2 linked regions of the Astyanax mexicanus genome follow. The protein of the gene in region 2 purifies or fractionates together with the protein of the main gene of each other region. This does not show direct contact. Links are inferred from orthologs where the notes say so. Each region holds a gene or a part of one and is shown on either strand. Other genes may lie near its edges.

What was found.
Region 1: the proteins of zzz3 (region 2) and tada2a purify together in Homo sapiens (affinity purification with mass spectrometry; 4 studies listed by BioGRID and IntAct, with this or other methods). This does not show direct contact. The link is inferred for Astyanax mexicanus from reciprocal best matches to the Homo sapiens genes ZZZ3 and TADA2A.

What each region holds. Positions count from the first base shown.
Region 1 is NC_064425.1:13,103,778-13,111,409, reverse strand, and holds the start of tada2a (transcriptional adapter 2-alpha), read right to left. Parts: upstream 3,027-7,632; 5' UTR 2,647-3,026; coding exon 2,622-2,646; intron 2,093-2,621; coding exon 1,986-2,092; intron 1,788-1,985; coding exon 1,728-1,787; intron 1,313-1,727; coding exon 1,221-1,312; intron 726-1,220; coding exon 568-725; intron 173-567; coding exon 84-172; intron 1-83. Other genes in the region: uncharacterized protein LOC103024639, read right to left, coding at 5,671-5,940, 6,245-6,412, 6,759-6,920, 7,188-7,403. UniProt on the Homo sapiens protein: Component of the ATAC complex, a complex with histone acetyltransferase activity on histones H3 and H4. Required for the function of some acidic activation domains, which activate transcription from a distant site. Binds double-stranded DNA.
Region 2 is NC_064415.1:55,925,869-55,932,861, reverse strand, and holds the start of zzz3 (ZZ-type zinc finger-containing protein 3), read right to left. Parts: upstream 3,020-6,993; 5' UTR 2,915-3,019; intron 1,551-2,914; exon of another isoform or gene 1,235-1,550; intron 1-1,234. Other genes in the region: usp33 (ubiquitin carboxyl-terminal hydrolase 33), read right to left, coding at 5,975-6,132, 6,911-6,979.

The sequences.
Region 1 (7,632 bases), on a different chromosome or scaffold from region 2:
GGCAAAACTGTCATCTAAACAAGAGGTGCTACTATGTTACATATTTTAGACCACACTGCAAATTGAAAACACTGTACACTGACCTCCATGAAGTCTGCTCGAGCAGGCATGTACCCCGCCATATCTCTGGACAGCTGAGAGTCAAACGAGGGCCGAGGAGGATCGTCAGTGGCTGATAAGAAAGAGATGGGTAAAAGGTTGGTTACATTATAAACAAATAACTTATTTAACTTAAGCCAGCCTAATGCTTTAAAGGCACTTTGACAAAATTCACACATTCTGCTCTTAGTTTCTTGTTCCAGGATCAAGGTCATTTGCAGTTAATGTGGACTGATCGTCAAATTAACTATGGGAGAAGCAAATGAAAGCACACAGTTTGCAAAACGGTAAGAAGGATCCAGAAACCAACAAACTATTACAATTTGTAAGGTAATGTAATGATTATTGATATTTCTTAAAATTTCTATGTATCGCCCAGCCCAATAAAAGACAGTGTAAGGAGCCAATATCATTACACTACTGATAAAAAAAACCCTTCAGAAGAAAACACTGTAGGCAATCTCTTACGTTTGAATGGGATGGCACTGTCCGCTGTTCGAGCCTCCTCCATCTGCCGGAGACTGAGCAGTGTGGAGGAGAAGAGAGGGTTGTTGATGAAGTTCTTCATGTAGTGGTTTTCACATTCCTCCTTGGTTTTGGTGCGCATCTGATAGGCCACATCCTGCCTGAAACATTATGTTAGTGAAAGACAAAACTGATTAATCAATAGATTATCATTAAAACTAAACAACTTTTTTGTTTACAAAACAATTCATGTGTTCCTGTATAGCTTTAATATAGTCTTCAATATTAAAATTACATTGTAAAAAAAAAAAAAGAGAGAGAAAACACATTAAACAAAAAGAAGTGTGCCAAACTTTTGACAGGTACTGTATGTGATAGGACTGAACAATATTAGAAAAAGTGTGTAAATATGCAAAATATATTGCAGTATTATTATTTTTTTAATACTGAGATTTTCACCAGATTTAACCAGAAGTCAGACATTTAATGTTTAATGTTATTAATAATCCACTCTCTTGGTTTTTAATACTGAGGTCAAATAAGTGATATTGCATTTGAGATTGCATTACAATGCTTCAACAATATATTTTGCAGCCCTAATATATAATTAATTATAAAACATATTAAACACACCAAAGCTTTTTAACTGTACTGACCAATTTCCAAAGCCGCAGTCCATGACAGCCTCTAGGAGAGCCATCTCCTCCTGCGCCGTCCAGCTGGGCTCCAGTATAGGAAAATCCGACGTCTAAGAGAGAGAAGATAAGATACCACACTGAGCAATTATACACTTTATGATAAGTTTTTTTTTTAAGTTAAATACACATGTACACAATCTAGTAATTATTATGATTTAGTACTAAAATGTTGTACTAAAACTCCACATTGAGACCAAAACAGTATCCTGTATTAAAGCAGTGTATTTTTTATTTTATTTTTTATTTATTTTTATTTTTATTTGAATGTTATTGAACATTCTCAGTATTCTCAGTGTTGTCAACTACTGCTTAAATTGTATTTTGTTAAGAAAAAAAAAATTAAAATTGTACATAAGTAAAACTGTATGTAAACTATAGTTTAAAAAAAAAACTAAAAATATCGTTTTATTCCAGCAAACAAACTTGTGCAGTTGTTAAAAAATTAATAAATTATGATTGTTTTACCATGATTTCAAATTTGTGATCACTTTGATGCTTCTTATACTCATAGCCCCGAGTAAAACACTGAAACAGAAAAGAAACATTATTCTGATTATATATTTGTACAGCAAAAGCTTGACAATTTTACTGTCAATTAATAACCACAGTGCTGACACATTTTGAATAATTGTAGCTATTTGAAAACCAAGTAACTCTAAACAAACATTTTTTACGCCCATTCTATCTTAAGTTTAGTCACAGGACATCACTTCAGATACTCACCTGGAGACAGAGAAGGAAAGGGGATGGTCCACACTCAGCACACTTTATGTAAGGCTCCACCAAGTACGAAGAACATCCCCGACAAGGAGGCTTGTCAAAAGGGTCATCTGGAATTAAGGATGATTAAAGTTACACCAACATCACAGATTAATTTAATATATATATAAGATTTAATATTTATTTAAGATTTAACGTTAATATCAGACAAATATTATAACAAATCTAATCTGCATAGACATAAAATACTTTTTAAATTATTAAGAAAAAAACTGTCCAAACCAATCTAGCTCCTTATGAAAAAGTGTTTGCCCCCCATAAATTAACTGTGATTAATCAAACTTGATTGTAAGTCTATGACTGAAGATAAGACGTTTATAAAGTTTGAGAGCAGTGCTGAAATAGTTTTCTGCAATACAATGATCCAATATTTACCAAACAGCAGCTAATTACACTAAATCTCCATATTAACCCTATTATTATTATTATTATTATTATTTGGCTAATCATCTTATCCAGAGGTTCCTCTGGTTAACGTTAATTTACTGTTTGGCTTAACGTTACTGTTACACCTGTTAACTGATAGGGGCTAGCTAACGCTAACTACAGAATATTGACTTTATTTTAAGATATACTCACTTCCAAAAGATGTCAGGCGGTCCATGTCTGCAGTAAATCGTGTACAGGATGATTTATTTAACGTTTTCTGTCGTTATTATTTAATTAAAGCCGCTAGCTTGTTTTCAAGCCTGTTGTTTTTAAGCTAAGCTAGTTAGCTAACAGGCTAAGCTAAGCTAGCCGGGCTGAGCTGCTTCAGCATTTCCCCAGCAGTTACTACTAACTCAAACTCCACAAACTCACAAACCAGTGGCGATTTACACCATTTATAACAATTTAATTTAAGCCTCGCTGTCCCGCACCAGATGCTCATACAGCGGTTATCAGCGCAGCTAGTTTGTTAGTTAGTTAGCTACTTGGCTAAGGAGAAAACAGCCATCCTGAGGTAAAGATGAGGTGGAGCGCAGCGCCCCTTGCGGCGCCTGGTAGCTACTGCTACTGAGCCATGTTATATACAGTGCAGGAGGTAAACAACAATAATCATACACATATTAACAAAATTAATAATGTAATATTAGCTTATTTTACACCTACGCTTTGTAAGATAATAGTTTATCAGTACAGTATAAGACTACATCTGGTCTGACATCGATTGTATAATGGATAATTCTTACACTGTCTCTTTTACCATTTAGCATTTCTGTTTTTCAACAGTTTATCTTTTTCCACTTGTTTATTTTTCTGCCTGTCTGTCTGTCTTTCCAACTGTCTACCTTTAAAATTATCTGTCTTTCTGCCTGTCTGTTTTTTCACCTGTCTATCTTTCCAGATGTTTATTTTTTGCCTGTCTGTCTTTTCAACTGCCTGTCTTTCCAACTTTCATACTTTCCATCTCTCTGTCTTTCTGCCTATCTGTTTTTCCAACTTTCTACCTGACCAATTATTAATCTTTCCACCTGTCTGTCTGCCTTGGTGTTGGTGTGAGATCTACGCTGACTGGGTGTTCCTGTTGCTGCGCTCCATAGTATTTAGTATTAGTCTACAAAGCAGAATATTTAAAAATAATGAAAAAACACTGAATGTAAGTTGTAATATATTATTTTATTAAACAGTATTATTTGTTTTTGTACATATTTAAAAAATTGTACAAAATACCAAAAATAATACCGGTATTATAATATAATATAAAATAATATAATATAATATAATATAATATAAAATAATATAATATAAAATAATATAATATAATATAATATAACATAATATAATATAATATAAAATAATATAATATAATATAATATAACATAATGTAATATAATATAATATAATATAATATAAAATAATATAATATAATATAACATAATATAATATAATATAATATAAAATAATATAAAATAATATAATATAATATAACATAACATAATATAATATAATATAATATAATATAATATAATATAAAATAATATAATATAATATAACATAATATAATATAATATAAAATAATATAATATAATATAACATAATATAATATAATATAATATAAAATACTATAATATAATATAACATAATATAATATAAAATAATATAATATAATATAACATAATATAATATAATATAAAATAAAATAATATAATATAATATAATATAACATAATATAATATAAAATAATATAATATAATATAACATAATATAATATAATATAAAATAAAATAATATAATATAATATAATATAATATAATATAATATAATATAAAATAATATAATATAATATAAAATAATATAATATAATATAACATAATATAATATATCTGACATGATATAATGATATATATCATGTCATAATATGATCTAATATAATGGCATAATATAATATAATACAATATAATATATGATAATATAAGAGATGATAATATGATATAATATATCATAATATAAGATATAATATAATATAGTATATGATAATATAATACACACAAGATGCAAATACAATATATATATACAGTGACGTGAAAAAGTTGCCCCGTACATATTTAATTTGAAAACATGGAACACTGGTGAACCTTCCCAGGAGTGGCTGGTCAACCGAAATTATACCAAAAGGACTTGGACAACTCATCCAGGAGGTCACAAAGAACCCAGAACAACATTTAAATAACTGCAGGTCTCACTCGCCTCAGTTAAGGTCAGTGTTAATGATTCAATAATAATAAAGACATAACACATAATTTTAGAAAAAGAACATTATACTGAATGTAAAACATGGTGGTGGTAGTGTGATGGTCTGGGGCTGCTTTGCTGCTTCAGGGCCTGAACAACTTGCTGTAATTAGTGGAACCAGGAATTCTGCTGTTTACCAGACAATCCTGAATCTGTTTGTGACCTCAAGCTCAGGCGTACTTGGGTTCTGCAGCAGGACAATGACCCAAAACTTAAAAACTTAAACAAATTAAAAAAGCGTCTGCCAAATGTAATGTAAATTGAAGGTTTGGGAGTGTCCTAGTTAAAGTCTGATTGAGATGCTGTGGATGATCTTAAACAGGATGTTTTTGCTGGAAAATCCTCCAGTGTGTCTGAATTAAAACAATTCTGTAAAGAAGAGTAAAACAAAATTCCTCCACAGAGATGTAAAAGCCTTGTTGTCAGTTATTGGTAAAGCTTGAATCCAGTTGTTGCTGCCAAAGGTGACACAACCAAGTTATTAGATTTAGGGGCAAACACTTTTACATAGGGCTAGACTGGTTTGGATAGTTTTTTCTTTAATAAATACAATTATTATTTAAAAAGTGTTTTCTTATATTCAATCAGGTTAGCTTTGTCTGATATTAAAGTATATTTGATAATTGGAAAAATCTAAGTATGAGAAAAAAGCAAAAACAAAAGAAATCTGTGTGTGTGGGGGGGATACTTTTTTACGCCACTATAATATAATATAATATAATATAATATAATATAATATAATAATCCATTTTTAACATTTACACTCAGCACTCACACACACACACATACACACACACACACACACACAAGAGATGTAAGTACAATAGATATTTATAAATTAGACATATATAATATAATATAATATAATAATAAAGAAACAATTGTCCACTGCATCAGACACTGAGACGTTCTCCTAGTGCCAGGTGTTTTCCTCGGGTTGTCTCTCCTCAGGTCGTCTTCTTTGGCTGGTCCAGAAGGGAGTACACCTCCTCAGTGGATACAACCCCCAGTCCCCATAGTCCACCTGGGCATTGAACCCATATTGGTCTTCCTGACACTGTATAGGAGGACTTCTATGGCTGACCCCACAAGGGGTACACCCCCTCAGTGGATAGGACCCCCAGTACCCATAGTCCACCTGGGCACAGAACCCATATGGGTCGGCCTGACACGGTATAGGAGCCTGAAAAAAGATTGATAGGATAACTTCATATCTATCAGTGCAATTAAATTACAGTTTATTTAAAAGTGATAGAATGACACAGTAGAAACATATTCTGCTATGATCATCTCAGATGTATTCAATAATCCAATACAAACACTGACAGCTGTAGTGTATATACTTTCATCGTTAAATAAACGGTAAAACACTGGGAGCTGTGGTGAATAGAATTTCCTCTTTACATTTACGATAAAATACCTGCAGCTATAGTGGTAGATAAAATTTTATCTTTAAATATTCTGTAAATTCTGAAATGATCATCCACCTGCATCAGGAGCTCTGGAGTTGATTCAGCATCATGAATTATTCCTTTTCTGGGTGAGATGACTTCCTCAGGTTGTCTTCTTTGGATGGTCCTGAAGGGTTCTCTCATCTCTGAAGAGAACCTGCAGTCCCTGAAGTCCCTCCAGGCACTAGACCCATATTGGTTGTCCTGAAAAATAAAGAAGAAAAAAGAAGAAAAAAGGTGAGACAAACAGGTCAGAATTATCAGCCAATCACTCACAGCATACTCTCTCGGAAACAACCGTCCACCTGCATTCGGCACTGAGGAGTTGACCCAGCACCGACTAACAATCTATATCCATCGAATTTCATGATGAAATATTTAGAAAAATACTGCCATATGTGGTTGATTGAATTGCATTGTTAAATATATGCGGTAAAATACTGTTATCTGTGGTACATAGAATGTCATCTTTAAATATTTACGGTAAAATACTGGCAGCTGTGGTTAATAATGGCACACAGCATACTCTCAACAGGAAATGACCATCCACCTGCATCAGGAGCTCAGGAGTTGATTCAGCATCATGAATTATTCCTTTTCTGGGTGAGATGACTTCCTCAGGTTGTCTTCTTTGGCTGGTTATGAAGGGGCTATCCCTCATCCTTGAAGAGAACCCACAGTCCATCCAGGCACTAGACCCATATTGGTCATCCTGAACAATAAAAAAAATATGAAAAAAGAAGAAAAAAGTTGAGACACACAATATACTGTAAAATACTGGCAGCTGTGGTGAATAAATCTTTATCATTAAATATATGGTAAATTACTGGGAGCTTCTTTCAGACATTAAATCCATATTAGTTGTCCTTTATCATTAAATATACAGTAAAATATTGGCAGCTGTGGTTTATAGAATTTGACTGTTAAATATATACGGTAAAATACTGGCAGCTGTGGTGAATAATCGTGCACAGCATACTCTCAACAGGAAATGATCATCCACCAGCATCAGGAGCTCAGGAGTTGATCCAGCACCATGTATTTTTCCTTTCCTGGGTGGGAAGTCTTCCTCAGGTTGTCTTCTTTGGCTGGTCCTGAAGGGGCTATCCCTCGTCTCTGAAGATAACTCACAGTCCCTGAAGTCCCTCCAAGCACTAGACCCCAAAAAAGGGTGAGACACACAGGTCAGAAGCATCAGCCAATCACTCACAGCATACTCTCAACCGGAAACAACCATCCACCTGCACCAGGCACTGAGGAGTTGACCCAGTACTGACTAACAATCTATATCAATTGAATTTCATGATTAAACATACAAAAATAAAAAATACTGAACAGTTAATTTTGGACCTACGAGACTGAATTCATGGTAAAATACAGCTGTATGTGCTAAAATTTCATGGTAAAACATATGCTAAAATACT
Region 2 (6,993 bases):
AACAAAATGGCAAAATAAGAAAGACTGCTGCCAGTGGACTACAGAGAACACTGGAGGTGTTCTAAAACTTTTGACTTGTGGTATACATACGGTATACATAAAATACCTTCCTCTAAGTTAAGTTGCAAAAATAAGTCTGACACCACCAAACAGCAACACCTTTACATATATTCAGCCTACAGCAGATTCAAATCAGTATATGGGTCGTTAGTCACTTATCAGCACTGATGTAAGGTAACGTAATTATTTTTGGTCATGTTTTTTTTTTAATCGTTGTTTTTTAATGAGCTGAACCACTATTGGATGACAAGTACATGAGATCAAGAGGTAGGGTTTCATTAACATGCAAAATTGTTTTAATGCATCAAGACATTTACAATGCTATACTTTCACCCCCTCCCCAACATCATTTAAAAGGAATGACAAGGCCGCCAGTTCCAATTAGCATAGTTGTGCCTAACCTAGCCATATTTTTATAGCATTGATTATATTAAAATCTAGTTTGAAAAAAAAGGGTGCAGAAAGAGTAACTACATTCCCCATTTTAAAATAAGACCTGATGATAATCAATTTTTATTGCTAGTTTTATGTCCAATTTCAATGTGCATTTTTAAATTGATTGGACTGTGGGTCTGAAGAACTTACGTAAGCATTCTGCTTGTATTCCTAATCAAGTCACTTTCATTTATAGCCCTAGTTCAAGGTGGTTCTGTTTTGGAGGCGAAAAACTGCTCTAACACACAAACAGGAGAACAACCAGTGTAACAAAATTTAGCAGGTGTCATCACAGCTCTCTAGATTATTTAATCATATGATAGCATAATTTTGCAAGCGCACATTGTGCGTCAGATAAAAAACAAACATAACTGCAACAGTAGCTTGAGTTATATGTCTGCACTGCGTTGTGCAGTGACTATTCTCTCTGGTCAGTCAGTGCTGTGCTGTGTTTACACATCACTCTTTGAAACAAACAGATAACGTTACTAAAATATATTAAATACTTAAACAAAAATTAAAGAAGAAATGTGAAAGAGAAGTACGATAAAATTAAACAGGTGTAAGTATCCAAAATAAGCCCTATCCAAACGAGATTAGTTTCTCAGGGGGTCCCTATAATAAATGTACAAAATATAAATTAAGTTTTACACAATATTGTGCATCTTATATGATCGAAATTAGCCTCAATTTAGCCCTAAAGAGTCCCAAAACTGAACTGATACACATCCCAACTCACCTTTTTCAACACTGTTTACGATTAATGTAACGTTAAATCAGCCGCACTGTTGGCACTTTTTCCCCGCCGCCTCCTGGCCTGGCCTGCGCTGTACTGGAGCCGCGGGTTTGCGTGGTAACCGCTCGCCGGCTCCGGAGCTTATACTTTGGTGTACTCGTGGTTGCTACCAGGAGAACTCGAATTCGTGATTTAGCGAAAAGATTTAAGATTTGGTATTAGACAAACAGATTAAAAAACGCTTTATCATGTAGTTTGATAGATAACTAGATAACTAACGAACCTAGCCCAAGAAACGTGCCCCTTTTAGTTATCCGCTCCTCTAACTAGCTAACATCAGCTAGCTACAGCGGCTCACACACAACCCCTCAAGCCGACAGAGCGGCGCTATCCGTGGGCCGCGGGTCTCTGAGCCGCTCCTTGGTAGGTAGCCGGGCAACCGTGCTAGCACGCTAGCTTGAATTAAAGACCTGGTGTTCTGTCGAGTTGTGCTACCTTGTCACACAGTGCTACCCTAGTAGTATTTCATGTTTAAAAAGGTAAAACACCATATCAGAAAACATATTAGAAAATACTCCCAGCAGAAGCCTAGGTATGATATGCAGATCAATCACTTCATCAGGTAAAGTTAAAACTTTTAGTTCAAATCATTTTTCATAGTTTTCTAGTTAATTATTTATTCTTAACCTTTCCATTGCTATTTTCTAACTGCTATTTACAGGTTATTATTATTGTTTTTTACAATCATTCAATCATGTTGTTTAATGCTACTAATAAAAACTTAAGGAATTGACATGAAAACATTATAAAAAAAAATTTTGTTTAACGCATGCGCAGTGCCGTAAAGAAGCACGTATCGATAGGTAGCATAACTCGACAGAACACCAGGGCTTGGAAGGTTTTCTAGCTAACTCGCTAAGCACAAATTTGACTTACGTGCCCGAACATTTTGGGGGACGGTTTCAATGGTGCAAGGGAAAACTGAGCCAAGTTAATGTTAAATAATAATAAAATAATAAATAAAATAAAAACAGAAGAAAAGCCACTAACTTACTTTGGTGTTAGTTAGCGTTAGCTAAAGCTAGCTAAGATAGCATAACACCGCAAAGCAAGCGGTTACACGGGTTGCTAAATTAGCTAACATAGCTAGTTAGCTAAGCTAACTGTATTTTTTAGATAACGTTAGCTACATAATTTATATAGCCTACTAACGTTTAAAAGAGGTGTTTGTTATAAAGTATAGTTTAATTAGTGTTAAATTATATGAATACGTTGATATAAATGTGTGTATTTAGGTTTGTTTTTTTAAACATAAGGGCCTACGTGTTGTACATAGCCTTACCGTCGCTTAGCTTAGCTAAAGTTGGAATAGCGCCGTTCCACCTTAAATGGTGCAGCAGTTAATATTACAGCGCACGGGTGCCTCAATCGAACTGCTGCACCATTTAAGGTGGAACTACTAAATTCCAACTTCAGCTAAGCTAAAGCGCCCGATTCGATGGTTTTAACTTTCTCTCCTCTCCTGTTCAAACCATCATTCTGCTTTTCATACTATGCTCACTTATTTTATAGAATGTAAGCTTTTAAAAGACGCACACGAAAAGCTTGGGAACACTTTTGAAAGCGAATTATTTGGAAAACAAATCGGTTTCTCAAGCAGGAGAATTGTAGCTAGCTACTTACCTCACTTCCGCAAAGCGTCTGCTGCACAGTCGGCAGCTGCCATGTTTTTCTCCACTGAACTGAAGTGTGTGTATGAGTGTGTGTGGGGGAGAGAGAGGGAGGGAGAGAAAGCGTGTGTGTGTGTGGGGGAAAGACAGAGAGAATGGTACATCCATCCCACAAAAACCCAGATTGTCTTTGTAGATACAGTAGTTAGATGGTTTTAGATGTTCCCAAAAATGTAAATATTATTAAAAAGTTACTTACTTATTTAAGTAATTCAGTTCAAAATGTGAAACACATATATTATATAGACGTATTACATATAGAGTGATCTATTTTATTGGTTTATTTATTTTATTGTTAATGATTGTGGCTTACAGCCAAATAAAAACCCAAAGATCAGTGTCTCAGAAAAGTCTGGGTGGTGTTCCAAGTCCTGCTGGAAAATGAAATCCACATCTTCATAAAAGTTGTCAGTAGAGGGAAGCATGAAGTGCTGTAAGATTTACTTGTAGAAATGGATTGTAGAAATTTAATTTAATGTAGGACAATAACTTTACAGGAGTTACTACATCTTCTTAACCTTCAATGGAAGTCAATGTGAAAAGAATTTTCAAGTAATTTTTGATAATTTCTATTGGTCCATTTATTAAGAAATTTTGACACAGTGTAAAGGACACTTTGTGTTCAAATTAGGTAGTAATCTAAAAATCTACCACATATACTCAGAGATATCTACTACCAGAGATACTTGTTTTAAATGGGAAAAAATTACCTAAATGCCTTTTAAAAGTGTAGCATTATTCGATCAGTTAAACAGACTAGAATTGTGAATATTTAATTGAAAAAAATTAAATAAGTGAAACCACAAATCCACGTTCACTGAATAATTTTGGGTTTAATTTGTTTCGGCCAACCAAAACAAAAAGTGACAGACGTAGGACTCATTCTTCCCATACAGCTTTCATAAATGACAGATATGTCAGTCCTCTATTCCAGTCAATGAGCATCAAAAAAATAATAAAAAGAAAAAATAAATCATGCCATTATATACATAAATTAATGCCTCAATCTTTAATCAGTTGTAGTAGATTCATGTCTATTTTTCTTTATTTTATACATACAATTAAATGTGTGCCTTGTTCTTCTAGAGCAGCTCTGCATCTACATGCAAGTCAAGTGGAGTTTCAGCCTACAGATCATATCTTTCGTTCCAGCATGCATTTCATATCAGGTTTGGCTCGCTGAATAAAAAAAGAAAAAAAAGAAAAAGAAAAAAAAAAGTATAAACATTATAGTAAATCACGTTACCCCTTCTGGAATAAATAACATAGAATGCAAGAAACTCTGTGTTCATTAAGTACGAGTACATTCAGATAGAAATCGGACATCAGTATTGGAGCATGCAGAGCTGGAGGCCTACGGAAACAGTGCAAAACAGAAAAAAAAAATTACACAGTCCTTTCCTGAGACTATTTAGCGCTTCGGATCCCTTCACAATCTCAGGCGGAGCAGTGAAACGTCCGCTCCCTAGGACGGACATTTTCCTTTTAAAACCGGACAACGAGTACAGTACTACGCATTTTAATTCTTCACCAAGTTCAGCTAAGCAACTCACAGATTATTCTCTATTTGGTCACAAAAAACGGTACATTTGTTTTGCTCCCAAAAGGCGCCTTTTCAAGGATCTACCTCAAAGGAGCGATAAGCGATATTTTCGCTAGCCTACTGGCTGAACCCGTGGGTCTTTTTTTTTGTACAGAGGAAAGATTAGTGCTTTTCATTGAAAAAGTAGGAAAGGAATGCATATTTCCAGCGATATTCTAGCTTACACACATTTTCTATACGTGTCTGAGGAAAGTTTCACTTGTCGCTCCTTTAAAGAAACGGTTTGGTGTAAAATTTTACATTTTCCACTTTGTGGAATGATGGTTGATGTGGATCAACCAAGACATTTAGCAGTTTTGCTTCTTTAGCTTACACTAAAAGCCAAGTCATCCAAAAATCACTCAAACTGCAAACTGCTGAGTAGACATGTCTGTGTTGTTGTTTAGGGTGAAATAAGACAAAAAGTGAACTATAAATATGAACAAAACCTCACTGTGAAACTGAACGTTTGTGATTTCTGTTGTTCCTTTTTTTAAAAGAACCATTACTTTTGAATTCCATTTTAAACTTTTTAAAATACTTTACATGTATATAAATAGTAATACAAATAGCAAACATAATCTGTGGGATTGTGTGAGGTTGTGGGGCATGTAGAATTTCTCCTAGCTTTAGCTACGTGCTAGTTATTAATATGTTTATCATTTACAGTATGTCATACTGTATCCTGAACCACATTAACAAGCCTGTGCCATTTTAAGGATGACATTAATATGGTTTAAGTGAGTTCAGACATGTGCAGGCTGTATCTGCAGTAATAACTAATTGGATAACTATTAACATTCACTGTTTGTATCAACAATAGCTTTCAAGCTCTAGCTCTAACCATTTTATTTAATTTAATTTAATTTTATTTTATAAGGGTTAAGCTTGAGCACACTGCATCAGTGCCAACAATAAGCAATTCACCAACATATGGATACAATATTAAAAAACAAAAGCAATCAGTAATGATGATTTGGATGACTAGTGACTTCCAGTGTTCGTTAGCCTCATAACTCCAGCGCTAAACTAAAGAAGCAAAGTCTGTGAACCTCAGCTGCCTTGGTCGATCAACTACCTTACCTAAGGTAAGTGTGAACATGTGCAAATGTGATTTTTCACCAATCCATTCCTCTAAAGCCTAACCTAGTCACCAGTGCCAATAGAATGTGGACAGACAGTGCTGTATATACAAATACGAAGCCTATTCTGAGACATATTCCACTTCTCTGCAGCAGGGAATGGTTCACATATGGAATGGAGACTGTGGTGGAGGTGTGTGTGTGAAGGAGGTGTGTGTGTGAAGGAGGGAGGAGACAAGGCATGGTCAGATCTTTTGCTCAAATGCTTTAGAGATGAAAAGAAAGAGTCAAGTGCAAAATAACAGATTGTTTTCCAGTCCCCTGTTAAAAGGGCAGCAGGTTGAAGCTGCTACACACTGCGTGTCTCCATTTCGATCTTCTCCTCGGCCTGGGAGCTGTCCACCTCCTGGTGGCTGACGCTGGGCCGCACTGTCACCACTGGTCCGCCTCCGTGGATGGAGTGGAGGAAGTTCCAGGTCTCCTCAGATATCTGGCCTGAATCTGCACCTGTTGGGGGCAGCGGAGGAGAAATAAACCAACGTTTAGAGTGAAAAGAAGAAGCAAATCTGGTCCCTTTAAATTATTAGCTCATTAAACTCTACTGTTGCTGAAATAAATGCCGTGGCAGCTGAAGCTGATCACGCTGATTAAGTTTGGTTGTGAACATCTTAACTCTTTACTAACATATGCAATGTTTTAATTTGTGTATGATGGTTTAGCTGGTCTAACAGCATAATCAAAATTACCATGCTGCTCGACTGTCAAGACAGAACTGGTCCAGAACCACTAATCAGCTTAGTATCAACAACAAGTTTAAACGAAACTGGTCTCCCAGCATGACCTTTAGAACAATCAGTTTTAAAGGGTTTAAAAGGTTGAGCTCGGGGTTATAAACTAAGTAAAAGGCAAGTGGGAGGATTTTCAACTTTATGCAAACAAGGTTCTACATAATATCACCTTCAAGAGGCTTTTCAACTAGCCAAAGAACTGATTAAATACTGATTAATTTTTTGTGATGAAACCTTTAAAGAACTCCTTTATACAAGGAAGACATAAATTCTTAAATAGGTTCTATAAGATGCTTTGTATCATAGTGAAGAACAGTGTAACCAGGCAAAGACCATTTAAAGCAGCCTAACAGTGCTTTGATTAGTCAGGACTCAGTATAGAACCATTTAGACACATAGCATAATCTGATTAGGAATGAGAACTACAATGGTGGTAATATCGAATGCTATTATTATTTTATAATAATGACAAAGTAAATTCTGATAAAGAACATTACCTTGCTTGAGGGTGATGTGCCCGTTCTTATTCACAGCGATCTTAGAGTTGTCAATTGGTCCTGGCGGATCTGGAAAAACAACG